Elephas maximus indicus: one gene and its partner. The protein of the gene in region 1 binds, or shares a complex with, the protein of each later gene. Links are inferred from orthologs where the notes say so. Each region holds a gene or a part of one and is shown in the gene's direction. Other genes may lie near its edges. The genes, in order: GAS8 and IQCD.

Evidence for each region.
Region 2: GAS8 (region 1) and IQCD share a complex: the UniProt entries of both Homo sapiens proteins name them as parts of the nexin-dynein regulatory complex. The link is inferred for Elephas maximus indicus from reciprocal best matches to the Homo sapiens genes DRC4 and DRC10.

The regions. Positions count from the first base shown.
Region 1 is NC_064839.1:55,106,123-55,113,568, forward strand, and holds the start of GAS8 (dynein regulatory complex subunit 4), read left to right. Parts: upstream 1-4,406; 5' UTR 4,407-4,502; coding exon 4,503-4,505; intron 4,506-6,227; coding exon 6,228-6,314; intron 6,315-7,446. UniProt on the Homo sapiens protein: Component of the nexin-dynein regulatory complex (N-DRC), a key regulator of ciliary/flagellar motility which maintains the alignment and integrity of the distal axoneme and regulates microtubule sliding in motile axonemes.
Region 2 is NC_064840.1:11,361,524-11,369,129, reverse strand, and holds the start of IQCD (dynein regulatory complex protein 10), read left to right. Parts: upstream 1-4,470; 5' UTR 4,471-4,525; intron 4,526-7,606. Other genes in the region: TPCN1 (two pore channel protein 1), read right to left, coding at 933-1,044. UniProt on the Homo sapiens protein: Component of the nexin-dynein regulatory complex (N-DRC), a key regulator of ciliary/flagellar motility which maintains the alignment and integrity of the distal axoneme and regulates microtubule sliding in motile axonemes.

The DNA.
Region 1 (7,446 bases):
TGTGGAGCAGAAAGACCGTGAACTAGTGCTCAGGTACCAGCAGGTTGTGAGAAATACCTTAAGAAAGACTGGGAGAGGGGCTACAAGAGGTGGGTTTTGGGGTGGGGGCGGTGTGGGTATGCCGGGGTAAGAGGTTGGGGATAGGGAGGACTCCCTGAGGCAGGAAGGGAGAGGGTGGGCAAGCGGAGGGGGCTAAATGTAGTACTCCCTCCAAGGCCGCAGAGATCCCGCTCCAGCCCCTGCTAACCAAAAGGTCGGCAGTTCAAATCCAACGGCCGTTCCTTGGAAACCCTATGGGGTAGTTCTACTCTGTCCCGTAGGGTCGCTATGAGTCGGAATTGACTCAACGGCAACGGTTCAGGTTTTTAGCAGGCAGGCTCTGTTAGTTCCCTCAGTGATTCTAGGAAGGGCGTACTTTCCATTAAGCCAGTTTTCCAGGAGCAGAAGCTGTACTTGCTGAGGCAGCACAGCCAGACGCTCCAAAATCAAGCTGGATTCTGAGCCCAGAACACATGCTCTGCACTTCTACAACAACAAACTAAACCCAAGAAGAACATCGAGGAGGAAGAGCTTGTCTCCAGCCGGAAATGGAAAAGGCTCACAGAGGAGGGAGGTGAGTATTTGTCTTGCCTCCACAGGCAGACTTCAACAGTCCCAGATAGCTGGAAATTCACCCCAGGAGGGGCCAAACCTGCTGTGATGGATGTCTTCAGCCAAGAATGTGGGACACTGAAGGTCCTTGATCCCTAGCCTTAGGGTCTCAACATCAATGAGGCAGTAAATAGCTTCCATTTTTTAGTTCACACACACACAAACAAAACTAAAATGAAACTGCTGCTTGCAACCCTCTAAAATGACCTCATTACCCACAGGAACACCTGCAGTTTGATGCTTCGTGAGGCTGAGAACCTGGATTCACAAAAAGACAGCGCTGAACTACAGGATGGGCAATGGGGAAAGAAGCAAGGCAAGGGCTGCTCTGGGAAGTAGGGACAGTGTGGGAGCACAGGCCACTCCCAGTCAGTTGGGATGGCAGATGGTATTTTCCCAAAATGGCTACAGCAGTATTTCTGGTCTTCCAGAACCTTCCACCCCCTCAAGACTCCCCCATCTATATTCCTTCTGCTTGAACTTGGACGGGCTTGTGACTGCTCCAATCAACAGAATGTGGCAGAGTGATATTATCATGTAATTTCCAAGGCTGGGTAATAAAAAGGATTCATTTTCTACTGGCTCTCTCTTAGAGCGCTCACTGCAGAACCCAGCCACCATGTTGTGAGGAAGCCCCAGCGCACACGTGGAGACCTCCTGTGTGTGTTCTGGCTTCAGCCTAGCTAAAGTCGCAGCAACAGGCAGAAAGTTGATTCCAGACCCTGCCTTTGAACCGCCTCTATGGGTGATGAGCAGAGCCAAGGTAAGCCGTTCCCACTGAGTCCTGACCAAATTGCAAATTCACAAGCAATCCATTGTACTAAGTCATTACATTTTGGGGCAACTTGTGCAGTCCTAGTAACTGTAACTATTACTTAATAAGTACTCCCACCTGAGAGGTGAATAAACTGATACAGAGGGGTCTTGCCAGAGGCCCCTCCAGATGGTAAGTGGCAGACAATCTGACTCTGGAGGCCAGCATTTACTTTTAATTTTTCATCGAGAACATTTTCAAACACACATTCAGGCAGTTTGACCAAGTGGGTCAAACTTTTTGGGCGAAATGGCCAGTCAGTTTGTGGATTAATGTTTGCTCTGGGGTTTTTGCAGGAAATGCAGATGCCATTTATCTGGGTTTCTGAGCTACACAGCTTGATACTGAACAAAATATTTTAAGCCATACAATATGAAGAAAGAGCTCTTTTCTAAAAATCTGAACTCGAATCCAATATGAAAAACTGAGGTCCCTGTTGGGAGCCAGGAGCATGGCAGCTGGGCACCCACACGATTCATCTCTGCAATCCATACTTATATGAAGAGAGAACATACTGCTCAGTCGGTTTCTGACAGATGAAAACCCTGTCTTGGCTATCCTGAGCTAACCCTCCTCTTCTTGCCCTTCTGTGGAAGGAATTATTGTTAATGCATTTATTTAATTCAGTACTCACAGCTAGACTTCTAAGGCCAATCAACGTGATGTACCTAGCATATTGGATCTTAGACAAAGTGTTAAACAATAATAATTGTCCCACTGTGCTACCCAGCTGCACTGTCTCGCCTGCCAGACTCCCTCTGGGAGGCCCCTGCCTCTGAAGGAGGAGGCCCATCTTGCCAGTGGAGTCCAGCATGGGGCTGGTGACTGGTCAGACATCACAAAGGCTTAGGGATAGGCTATAAATAAATCATGGCTCCGTCCTTCCAACTGGATGCTCCTCTCCAAGAACAATAAGGGTCTGGTGGGCAAACAGGAAGCCCCTCAAGCTTATCACAGTGGCCTCAGAAGCTAGGCTGCTGCAGGGTTCCCGAGGACTGAGCAGACCCGGCTACGGAGGCATCATTCCTTTCTGAGCTGGATGGGAAGACCTGAGCCCACCTGAGTCCTCTGTCATTACCCACATTCTGCCCTCTACACAACTCTCCAGGGGTAGAAGATTCCAGAATCTTCTCTATAGGAAAACAAGACCCATCGCAAAACCACTATTCAAGAAGTTGCTAAAGTTGAGAGCAGAGAAAAAAGGACAAATGATGTGTAAAGATGGGCGCTTGCTTATGACAAATCCTCAGTCTTTCAGGTGACTTGGATCCTCATGTCTAGGTAATAGCATGGTGGGGCGGGGGGGGGGTGGGGAATTGGAAATTCACTTTGGAAATCATAAAATGACTAGCGTTTGTTTTACTGAGCTCTCTCTTTTCAGCAGTGCCTATCTGGAAGCCTCTGAGGGATTTCTTCTCCATGAGAACAGAGAGGCCACAGCTGAGGTCTCCAGCACAGCAGTGCATTTCTGTTAAGGGTGGACATGCTGTCACTTAGCAATAGGGGCAGGTGTCAAGTAGACTGTTGATTTCAAAGCTTTGGAGCTAAGCTGAACATTTTTCCTTTATCTATGTTGTTAGGTACTGTTGAGTCGGTTCCGACTCATAACGACCTCATATACAACAGAATGAAACACTGCCTGGGCTTTCACCACCCTCACAATTGTTACGGTTGAGCCCATTGTTGCAGCCACTGTGTCAGTCCATCTTGTTGAGTGTCTTCCTCTTTATCACTGATGCTCTGCTTTATCAAGCATGGTGTCCTTCCCCAGGGACTGGTTCCTCCTGATAACATGTCCAAAGTATGTGAGACATAGTCTCACCATCCTTGCTTCTAAGGAGCTTTCTGGTTGTAGTTCTTCCAGGACAGATTTGTTTGTCCTTTTGACAGTTCATGGTATGTTCAATATGCTTTGCAAACACCACAATTCAAAGGCATCAATTCTTCTTCAGTCTTCCTCAGCTTTCGAATGCATATGAGGTGATTGAAAACACCGTGGCTTTTATATATATATATATATATATGTATGTATGTATATATATATATATGTATGTATGTATATATATATATATATGTATGTATATATATACCACCCACTACCGTCGAGTCGATTCCGACTCATAGCAACCCTATAGGACAGAGTAGAACTGCCCCCGTAGAGTTTCCAAGGAGCGCCTGGCGGATTTGAACTGCCAAGCTCTTGATTAACAGCTGTAGCACTTAACCACTACGCCATCAGGGTTTCCTATATATATATATTTCCCACCGCCCCCCCCCCCAGGATTTGTGGAAATCCAACTATTTTCAACCTTCACCTGGGTAGTAAGCGGGAGGACCCTTCAAAGGTGGCCAGAGTGGGGTGAGTCCCAGGGGGCAGAGTCTCAAACCCAAATTTCAATTTGATTTGGACAATGATCCAGAACCTTGTCCGTGTAGGCTCATTCGTTCACTCACTCACTCCTTCATCCAACACATCTTTATTAAGAGCCTGGAGCACAGAGTGAAGGCAACAGAGCCCCCTCCCGTCATGGAGCTTAAATTACAGTAGCGAAGAGCTTAAGTTACAGTAGAGGAGACAGGCAGTAAACAGAAGACGTAAATTATATTTCCTGTTAGGTAACAAGCTGTTTCCTTAGTTTTCAGATTTTAGTTGGTAGCCCAGGAAGGGGACAACTAAGCAGAGACCTCCCGGGCCTGGGTCAGGATCCCCAACCCGCTGCAGACCGGAGTCGGGGGCCTGGAATTCCTCGTCCCAGTTCGGCGACAACACGCGTTTAGGGCTGTTGGGGAGATCAGGCGATCGGTGACGCGGGGCTGTGGCCCGGCCTGCCCCGGCTTCCGCGACTTGGAACTCCCTCCCCGCGGGCGTTGCTAGGGACGCTCTCCCGTCGTTGCCAGGCCCGCCGCCTCAGGCGAAATCTCGCGAGGATCCCTGAGACTTGGCGCGGGAGCGCCGAGCGTTGCTGGGAGACAGGCGCATCTTCACCGGCCCTGAGAGTTAGTGTGGGGGCCGCGCCGAGGCCGGTCCGGCAGAGCCATGGTGAGGGGGGCCGGGGTGCGGACCGGGGGCCTGGGCGCACTGGGACCCCAAGCCGGGATCTGAGCTCTGGGGCGCTGGAACTGCGCTCGCTGGGATCCCGGACCGGGGGTGTGAGCTCGGGGGTCTTAGACCTTGCGCCCAACCTAGAGCCATGAGCTGTCCAGGATGCTGTGCTCACAGGGCTGCTCAGCCCTGGAGCCCGAGGGCCCGGTGTGCAAAGTACCCGTACGAGAGACCCTGAGCCTGAGGGGATTTCCTGCCTGGAGTGAAGGGCTTGGGGCCTAGAGTCTCATCTCACGGGGGCCCCCCCAGGGGGCCACCCAGGGACCCCAGGAAGGACAGGCTGGTCAGCAGTATCCTAGGACCGCCGGTCCCGGGAGGGAGAGCCAGGGGCTCACCAAGGGGTAGACTCAAATGGGGTCGACTTCTTGGAATAGATCTTTCAGAGAGAGGGTTAGAAAGAGCAGTAAAAGGGGTGGTGGTGGGAAGGTGGAGCCTGGGGCTTCCATGGTTGGATCGTTGGAGAGTAGATTGTGAAGAGACCATCAGCAAAATACTTCCGCTTATTATCATTGGTCGGCAGTTCGAATCCGCCAGGCGCTCCTTGGAAACTCTACGGGGCAGTTCTACTCTATCCTATAGGGTCGCTGTGAGTCGGAATCGACTCGACGGCCCTGGGTTTTTTGGTTTATTAACATTAGCTTGTGGAACTACGGGCGATTTTTTTTTTTTTTTTTTGCTTCTCTGTGTTTCTAAAATTTCCGCTTGACATTTTTTTGCAATTCTAAGAAAGTTACATAGATACCCACACATGGAAGCATGGGCTTCAGGGAGTTGGGAGTAGCAAAGGGCTAAGGATAAAGATTTGTAAAGTCAGATATGGAGAATGAGTAGGGTCAGAGGTTCTCTCTCACCATGAGCAGTTGGGTCTGGTGACCTGTTTACACAGCAGTTCAGAAGCTCTCTTGACCTGGGTTCTTTGAAGGAGTTTTGTATTTGGAAGAAAGGAAGCCTCAAATTGATGTCATTCTGTGATCCTTGCTGCAGAAGCCCTGCTTCCTACACCCATGAATTGGTTTTTTGGAGGTTTTTCCATGGTGGTCACCAAGCTTGTAACAAATGTGGTAGTGTTTGACTGTGCTTTTGGGGGTCTTCCATTTTGACTCCAAGTAAATTTTGCAACCAAAGATAAATTTTGTCCAAAGGCAAAGAGGTCTTTGTCTTATGCCAAGGAGTGGGTGAGTTCAGGAGGGGTTGCCCCTCCTTTCAGCTGGAAAAAATATCCCGTGAAAAGGAAGTCCTCCCCTAGTGCTTCTCCGAAGGACCCAGTGGGGTGTGTGGCATTAAGGATGGAACTTCAGGGCCCTCCTGTTGGGACAGAGATTCCATTGAGGTGCTTCTTTCTCCCAGAAAGGCCCCCGGGAGGGTCTTGGAGCTGGCCAACAAGTGGGAGCCCTTAGATGGTTTATTTACTCCTTCGTCCCTTGTTTAACCACAAAACCAAAACCACACCTACTGTCTCTGAGTCTCTTCCCACTCATAGCGACTCTATAGGACAGAGTAAAACTGCCCCATAGGGTTTCCACGGCTATAATTTTTACGGAAGCAAATTTCCACATCTTTCTCCCTTGGAGCAGCTGGTGGATTCCAACCACCGACCTTTCAGGTAGCAGCTGAGCGTTTAACCACTGTGTCACCACAGCTCCTTTCTTTAACTAACAGGCGCCTAAAAAGAAAGGAAAGAAAGGCAAAGCCAAAGGCACTCCGATTGTCGACGGGCTCGCTCCGGAAGACATGAACAAGGAGCAGGTGAGAGGGCCAGCCCAGCCACCTCAGCCCAGGCCAGCCAACCCCTACTTGACCGCTGTCCCCGCCTGCAGCTGCCTCCACCCTCCCCTCTGTTCATTCTGTCCTCCTGGCCATCTTCTTTCCATCCTGCCCTCCCCGCATCCACCCTCACCCCCTTGTACTTCTCTCCATACCAGATCATGCTCCTTGTTTCCATCCTTCCAGTCAGCTCCAAATTTCTCAAATACAACAGAGCCACAGAAGAGAACATTTTTATAGGGTGGTGGGTTTTGGAAGGAGTAGTATTTCTGATCTAACAGCTATTTCTATTTTTAATTCTCTGTCTCCTTCAGGCCTATTCTTTGATGCACCTGGCTTTTACAGAGCTGTTACTACAGCATAGATACACACAACATCCTCCTTTGTCTTGTTCACTGTTAAACACTATAGCAAATAAAAAAGAAAAAATTGTCTTGTTCACTGTTAAACACTATAGCAAATAGGATGTCTTTAAAAGAACAGATTTACTGAAAATCACATCACCTCCATCTGATTAATTAGGTCATCATTGTTTTGACAAGCTCCAAAGACAAGGAGCCGACTGGCTGCCTTTGCTGTTGCTTGTGCGTACATTTTGGGGGGGAGAGGATCTGTCTTCTAAACTACAGTTTTTTTGTAGGAATTATTTTACATCACTTGTCCATTCTGTTGGTGTTGGGAACTTGATAATTGCATTATTACAGGTTCCTGATAACCACACAAGTGGCAAAACCTTGAAAGCCAAGGAGATGCCACCTGGTATCTGCCTCGGTCTAGCAGGGCCAGGGGCATCTGACGCAGGAACCGAGAGAGGCTGTATTGGCTTGATGGTAATGTTAGTAAGCTGCTTTCTTTTTATAGTTTTAAGACAAAACATGAATACACAGGAGACTGAGAGAGGCCTTGTTGTTAAGGGGGCAGGGCTGTGGAGGCCTTGGAGTTATGATGAAGAATGGCTTTATTTTAGGTGACATTTAAGCAGGGGGTGGTGGGTCAGGCCTGTGTTCTGGGAAGGCCATCTGGGTGCTGGGTGAAGAATGGACTGAAAATGTCTCATTACCCAGTGGCAAATGGCTTCCTGTCCTGTTTACTCTCTAGACTTTAGACAGGGCAG
Region 2 (7,606 bases), on another chromosome or scaffold:
GAGGCTGCTGAGCGCCCTATAACCCACTGTGCTCTCTCCAGACAAAGGAGACCAGGGAGCCAGGCTCGTCCTTCCATGGGCCCAAGTATCCACACTCGCAAACTGGAGAAGAGCAATACCCCTCTGTCCTGGCCGAGGACGAATGGCAGACAGGGGGAACATCCACTTGCCAAGGAGACCCCAAAGCTCTGGTCTCTGATGACTTAGGACCCTCCCTAAAAGGCAGGTTATTTGAAGCCTCTCCTGAGCCCGAAGCCTGAGCAAACGAAGCAAATGGCTTTGGGACAAAAACCAGAAACGTTCTTAAGGCCTCCCATTCTGCCAGAAACACAATTAAAATTTAAAAAATTAAAAGCTCATGACCTCTCTTGGGTTCACTTTGTGCTAGGCTTTGGCTTAAAGGAAGACAAAGCAGAACCCAAAACCCTCAAATCAATGGCTCACTTGAGTGTGTCAACAACATCCACAACAAATGCCAGCTCCCTCCCACCCTGTCCTGGGCAGTGCAGGGGCTGAGCTCGAGCAGAGGGAAGCAGTCAGCTCCACTTTCCTGCCAACAGTTTCAGACTGGGACAGGCTGAGTCTGGTGTGGAAATCTGTTTCTTTTTTTAACAGGGAACGGGGCCGGGAAGCTAGCCAAGAAGCAGGTTAGACTGAGGCCCTAGCTAGACATCCACGGTCAAAGCCAAGGTATCTCTCAGGTGCAAGGGATGCAGGTGGCTGAGGGAGACAAGGGTCCCAGGAGGGCAAGGGAGCCCCCAAAAGCATCATGAAGCTGGGTGTGTAGAATGGGAAACGCCAGGGTCTCCCGGGAGTCATTTCAGTGGCACGACTTGGGGGGTCCGATGTGGGTGTGAGGCAACAGGTATACATCTCCCCATAGACCACAAAGCCCACCATCTCTCAGCCCCCAGCCCATCCCACTGACTTACTTTTGCTAGGCAGTTCCTCTTGGGCCAGTCCATTGGAGGGAGCCAGGGGAGTGCTGCTGCCCTCATCCAAGGTCAGAATCAGAGGCACGTCATCATCTAAGCTCACAGCCATGGTGTCCTCTCCTACAGTCCTCAGGATGCGATGGCCAGGGCCTTAAGTAGTCTCGGGTTTGATGTCCCTTTCAAAGCCACTGCCCCCGGGGTGCTTCTCAGAAACTCCTCCATTAGCGGCATCTTCTAGGGTTTAGGGGGACAGAAAAAGGAAGCGAATCATTCATACACAACCGTCACTGAGGGGCATGTTCTGGGAATAGATGGTGGTTTTGGTTACACAACCTTGTGTCTATATTAAAAACCGCTGAATTGTAGACTTTGAAATGGTGATTTTCATGGTATGTGAATCGTATCTCACAAACCTGGAAAGAACATATACTGAAAAGTTAAGAGTAATTAAATTTGGAGAGTGAGATTACGGCTAATATGTTCCACCACCCTCCCTAGACATTTGTGTGTGTCTTATAAAGATTTAAAGATTCGGAAAAAAATATATAACCATTAAAATAATATTGGTTAATACGCTTTTTTTGAGCACTTACTATGTACCGGGCACTCTTCTAGCCCCATAAGAAAACCAAAAAAACCAAACCCAGTGCCATCGAGTCGATTTGACTCATAGCGACCCTACAGGACAGAGTAGAACTGCCCCACAGAGTTTCCAAGGGGTGCCTGGCGGATTTGAACTGCCGACCCTTTGGTTAGCAGCTGTAGCACTTAACCACTACTCCACCAGGGTTTCCCCATGAGATAGGTAGGATTACTATCCCTCTATGACAGAGGGGCACAGAGAGGTTAGGTAACTTGCCCCAACACCCACAGGTAGAAAGCCAAGCTTGGAACAACACAGTCTGATTCCAGAGCTGTGCTCCCAGCCACCACACCACGATTCCTCTAAGTAGCAGCCTTGATATTTAGGGAGTACCTAGCTTCATTGACCTTAGCACGCCAGGTTATCTGTCGCTATTAGGTGCTGTTGAGTCGATTTTGACACCCCATGTGACAGAATCGAACTGCCCCATAGGGCTTCCTAGGCTGTAATCTTTATAGGAGCAGTCTGCCGTATCTTTCTCCCACGGTGCTGCCTGGGTAGGTTCGAACTGCCAACCTTTTGGTTAGCAGCCAAGTGCTTAACTGCTGTGCTATCAGACCTCCTTTCCATTTCCGCTTAGGAGGACCAAAAGAAAAGCAAAGACTCAGCAGATCTGACTGTGGACCTTTGAACTTCAAAACAGCAGTAGGTTCCGCCCTCCAGCTGTTACCTTCTGGGCTCAATCAACTTTGCCTCCAAGCTGATGCACTGAAATGGCAACCAGGCAACTTAGTTCTTTCACAAAAATCATCAAAATGACTCTAGGCAGACCCTAGTGCATCAACAGGGAACCGCAGAGCTTCTTAAAACAAGGCAGCAAAAGTAAACACCATTCTACTTACTGCAAGCTTGTAAGTCTGCCTGGCTAACTTCCTGTGAGATTTTTTTTTTTAAGTTTCCTCCCAATCTGGGGATTTATTTTGCTTTTGAATCTCAGTAGTGAGGAGGTAGAAAAAGAGGAAATCTCACATACGACACCATTATGCTGTCTTGGGAATTCTGTGCGGTTTATCTTGTTTTAACTTTTTACCATTGATACTTTCAAACACACATAAAAGTAGTGAGAATATGTAAATGAACTTCCTTGCATTCATCACCCGCTTCAACAACTACCAACATTTTGCCATTCTCTCCTGTGTTTATTTTGATGAGAGACTCTATCAACCTTCTCCACACATCAAGAAGTGGTTTCCTAATTTTATCGTTACCATAACGGCTACTGGTTTTGTCGGTTTGTTTAACTGTTTAATACATGACTGCTTGCTTGCAGTGTCTTAGCTCAGTGGGTTTTCCCACGAAAGGGAGATTTGACAATGTCTGCAGCCATTTTTGATTGTCACAACTGGCTGGAGGGAGGCAGGCAGGGTTGTTACTGGCATGTAGTGGGTAGAGGCCAGGGATAGTGTTAAGCATCCTACAGTGTACAGGATAGCCCTCCACAACAAAGAATAATCAGGCCCAAAGTGTCAATGGTGTCTGTTGAGAAACCCTACCTTAGCTAATATCCCTGTTTCATAGATAAAGGAACTGAGGCTTAGAGAGCTTAACTGAAGTTGCCTTTTGTAAGTAAACAACAGGGAAGTGGTCCATACCAAAATAACCCATTCCTGTCCAGTGGATTCCGACTCATAAGGACCCTATAGAGAAGTGGTAGAGTCCAGATTTCAACCCAGGTAGTCTGAATTCAGAGACTTTCCCCGTTTAATTATTACCCTATACCTCTTCCCAGAACAGTGCCCCATAACATTCAAAACCATGGTTTTAGAGAAGGAAAAGTTGGGCCCAGAGAGGGGAAGGGACCTACCCAAGGTCACACGGTGCCCAGGCAGAGCTACAGAGCAGACTCCTGAGTCCTAGCCCAGTGCTCCTTCCAGTGGGCTTTGCTTCTCGCTCTATAGAACACCGAGGGCCGGGGGGAGTCATCCCAGGGAAAGGGGATCAGCAGCTGTCCCGTTACCCGCTGGGGCTGCCTGACCCAGGCATGAGCCCGGTGTAGGGCTGCCTGAGGGTGCCAGGGAGAGAGCTGGAGGGGGAGGAGGAAAGGCTGAGGAGCGCCGGCTTCACGTGCTCCCAGCTCTGGGCCCCAAGTGGGGGCCGACCCAGGGGGCCAGGGGCGAGAAAAGGGGGTGCAAAGCGCCGGCCTGGGCTGGAGGAAGAGAAGCACGTTGGTGATTTTCCTGCGCCCCCCCCTCAGGACCCGTCCTGCCCGCCCGCACACCCCGATGCCCAGACGCAACCTCATACTCAGCGCCTTCTGACCTCTGCCCCCTGGCCTCTCCCCCAGGCCAAGTCCTCGCGCTCCCCAGATTCTTACACGCGCCGCCCCAGCAACCCGGACCACGCGCAGGGGTCCGCACAAAACAGCACAGCCCGCCGGTGCCGCCGCCCAAGCTCCGAGCTCGGAGCTGTTGCAGCCGCCTCCGCCGCCACTTCAGTCGCCGCCACTCCAGCCGCTGCCACCACGGCAGCTGCGCCAGCGCTCCCATCCACCGCCTACAGTGTCCTCAACACTGCTGGCCCCGCCCCATTTCTCCGCTGCCGCAGTCTATTGGCTTCTTGGGTTGCCATGCTGAACTATGATTGACCAAATCTCATGTCCTTCTTCAGTCTTCGCCCACTGCCTGAGCTAAACTCTCTGCCCCCGCCTTGGAAGGGGCGGGACGAAGAAGTCCCGCCCCTTTCCCCGCCCACTCTCCCCGCCTCACCCGTTTGGCCCAACCCAGAGGGAGCCCCGGCTCTCTCAATTGGTGGAGAGTCAGGGATAGATTACTCCTGAGTGGTCAGACTCCCAGGAGGCGGGATAAGCTGGGCGGGAAAAGGAGTTGAATGGTGAAAAGGAAAGTCAGTCAGACCCCGAGTCCCGCCTCCTGAGATTGGCGGGTAACCTAGCAACGCGGGGACCTCGGAGGTAAACTGTGGGTCAGGAGACCTGGAGGCCTCAGAACAGGTGAGTGACCAGGTGGGTTAAGGAGTGGAGGTGAGGGGGAGATGTAGAATGGGGTCTAGGCTGCCCTCCTTTGGATCCCTTAGGAATAGTAGCCCGCACCCCATCCTGTCCCAGCCCCAGGACCCTACTCTCCAGCCTGTTTCCCCTCAGTCAAGTGTAGTCACATCATAGTTAATTTATTTCCAGCCAAACATAGGTGCCGGAAGTGAGAAAGTGGTTATAAATCCCCTACCGTTCCACTCAACGACTGTACGTTCCAGGGTGCATGCAATGAAAGGTTTCTCACGTGACTGAGCATTTCAATTACATAATTTTGATAAGGATCCCTGGTGGGGCAGTGGTTAAGAGCTCGGCTGCTAAGAGTCGGCAGTTCAAAGCCACCGGTTGCTCTTTGGAAACCCTATGGGGCAGTTCTACTCTGTCCTGTAGGGTCTCTATGAGTCCAAATCGACTCGATGGCAACGAGTTTGGAGTTTTTTGGGGGGGGGGGGGAATTTTGATTACACCAATTTTTGCCTTATGTGCCCACTTTAGAACCTAACTCCCATTCCCATCCTTAAAATGCAATTCCATTGCACATACCTCAGACAAAGTGTTTGTTGTGAGGATTAAATGAGGTATAGCAATGAGGAGCTCAGCAAAACGAAGCAACATAGTAAGTGCTCAGTAAATTGTGGCAAGTATTATTATTACTAATTTTCTAAAAGCACGGGTAGCCACAACTCTTCCTGCTTAAAACTGCCCCAAGGAAGTTCTCTCACATCATACCTTAAATATTCACAAGTTCGATGAGTAATTACTGAATGCCTACTAAAGGGCCAAGCACAGTTCTAGGTGCTGGGGTAGAACAGACAAGAAAGCAGCTTCTCTCCTCTGGTTATGGAGCTTGCAGTCTATCATGGGAGACAGACATTCATCAAATAATATACATATTAATATGAAATGACACCTGTGGACATTCACTTTCTATGATGGAAGAATAGGCCAACACGCCCCTTCTCAAAAACTTTAACAACTATAAAGCTAAACAAAACTGTCTAGGGGTATTTCATCCCTGTGGACATCAACCAAAGGCATACAACAAGTTGAGAGAGCTTATTCATGAAAACTACTGAACTTGGAGTTTCTGGTATACTTACCCAAGGCTGTTCCTATTCCCCCTCACCCTAGTTCTGTCAGCATGATAGTTCAAAGAGGGTGGGGCAGGCCATGAAAACCAATAGCTTCACTGTTATTGCTCACTTGATTTGGAGTGTTGTCAGTTAAAGTAGGATATGTTGATGGCAAGTAAATAGGGAGGGCCAACAGACCTGGTTGCAGCATTATTCAAAATAGCCCAAAACTGGTTGTTGCTATGTTAGTTGCTGTCGAGTTGATTCCGACTCATGGCAACCCCACATGGCCAGAGCAGAATGTCTCCATAGGGTTTTTAAGCAAGCTGATCGCCAGGTCGGACTTCTGAGGTGTGTCCAGGTTTGAACTGCCAACCTTTGGTCTCATAAATAATCGCCTAACAGTTTGTGCCACCCGGGGACTCCTCCTGGTCCCACAGGCACCTCTAACTTGATTACATACAAATCTGAACTCACCACCTTCTGTCCCCACACACCACTCCACCCCTCAAGCTCTGCTTCTCTTCCTGTCTTTGCCCTTTTGGTAAACAACCATCCAGCCAGCAACCTGGCCAGAGAACTGGGTATCATCCTTTACTCTTTGCTCTCCCTCCTTCCCCAAGGAGCCTTGGTGGCGCAGTGCTTAAAGCACTTGGCAGCTAACCAAAAGGTCAGGGGTTCAAAGCCACTCCACGGGAGAAAGATGTGGCAGCTTCCATAAAGATGACAGCCTTGGAAACCCAGTGGGGCCAGTTCTACTCCGTCCTATAGGGTCACTGTGAGTTGTAGATGACTTGATGGGACACAACAACAGCAACACAGTCCTCACAGCCAGTCCTTCATCTCATCCTATTGATTCTTCCTCTTCAATATTTCTCAAAGCCATCCACTTCTCCCCATCATCACTGCCTTGTCCCTGGTTGAGGTCACCTCATCTCTCTTCCGGACCTCTTCACCAGCCTTCTAAACCTGATCCCCTTGCCATCTTGCACCTGCCAACCCTTTCGTCACCCTTCATCCCAGGCTGCCAATCTGGCCGTGTCCCTCGCTCCCTGCTTAAAACACTTCTGGGAGCCTTCAATTCCTCCTCCTGAGTGAGGAAAGCTGTTATGCCCAATTTTCTAACCCCATCAAGTCGGGGGAAGCTGCCTCATTTCCTGGTCCACCTGTAAGGTGATCTAGAGGAAATGAAAATCCTAACCAGTATAACCAGGCCAGGATGGAACAAAAGACCCAGTAGTGGAAGTGGTTGGAAACTTAAGAGTGAGAGGGGGTGAGTGCTGAGGTCACTGTTCCATTATGTCTTGTCTGAGTTAAAAGGAAAAAAATGTTAGTTGAAGGGAAGAATCTAACCTACCCATTCCCTTTCCCAGACTTTACCCTCCACCCAGAAAGCTGAAAATAGCCTTTTGATTGAAAGCAGCCGCGGCATCATAGCATCCATCCCCCTCCCTCCACGCTGGCCAGACTGCCTAGAGCACCCGGACAGGCAAGATGCTCAGCCCTGGCTCTGGGTGGGGCATTCCCTTGGGAACACATTCCAGGCGTACATGGTCAGACACAAATGCCTTGGTTTTGGCTTGGGGGTTATACACAGTCCCAGTGAAGGATGAAAAGGGTGGGCCTAGCCTGCTAAATGGCTAACTTCCCCCCACACACTTCCTTTGTGCCCAAGGAGAGGGAAGCTCAGAGCCATAAGGCTGATGCACCACCGGATTTATGCTTCCACATGTAATCATCATCGTTGCTCACCTTTGAAGAGGGCTTTTAACTCTCCCAACAGCTTCCCTATTTATTAAGCCAACCCGGCTCCACACAGCTCCCCTTTGATGTGGCTGGGACAGAGGTTATATCCCTAGTTGTCAGAGATAAGGGACTTGCCCATAGTTATTCTGGAGTCTCCAGCAGGGGACATGTACCAGGTCTCCTAACACCCAGCTTGTGATCTGATCTTGATTCTGTAACTGAT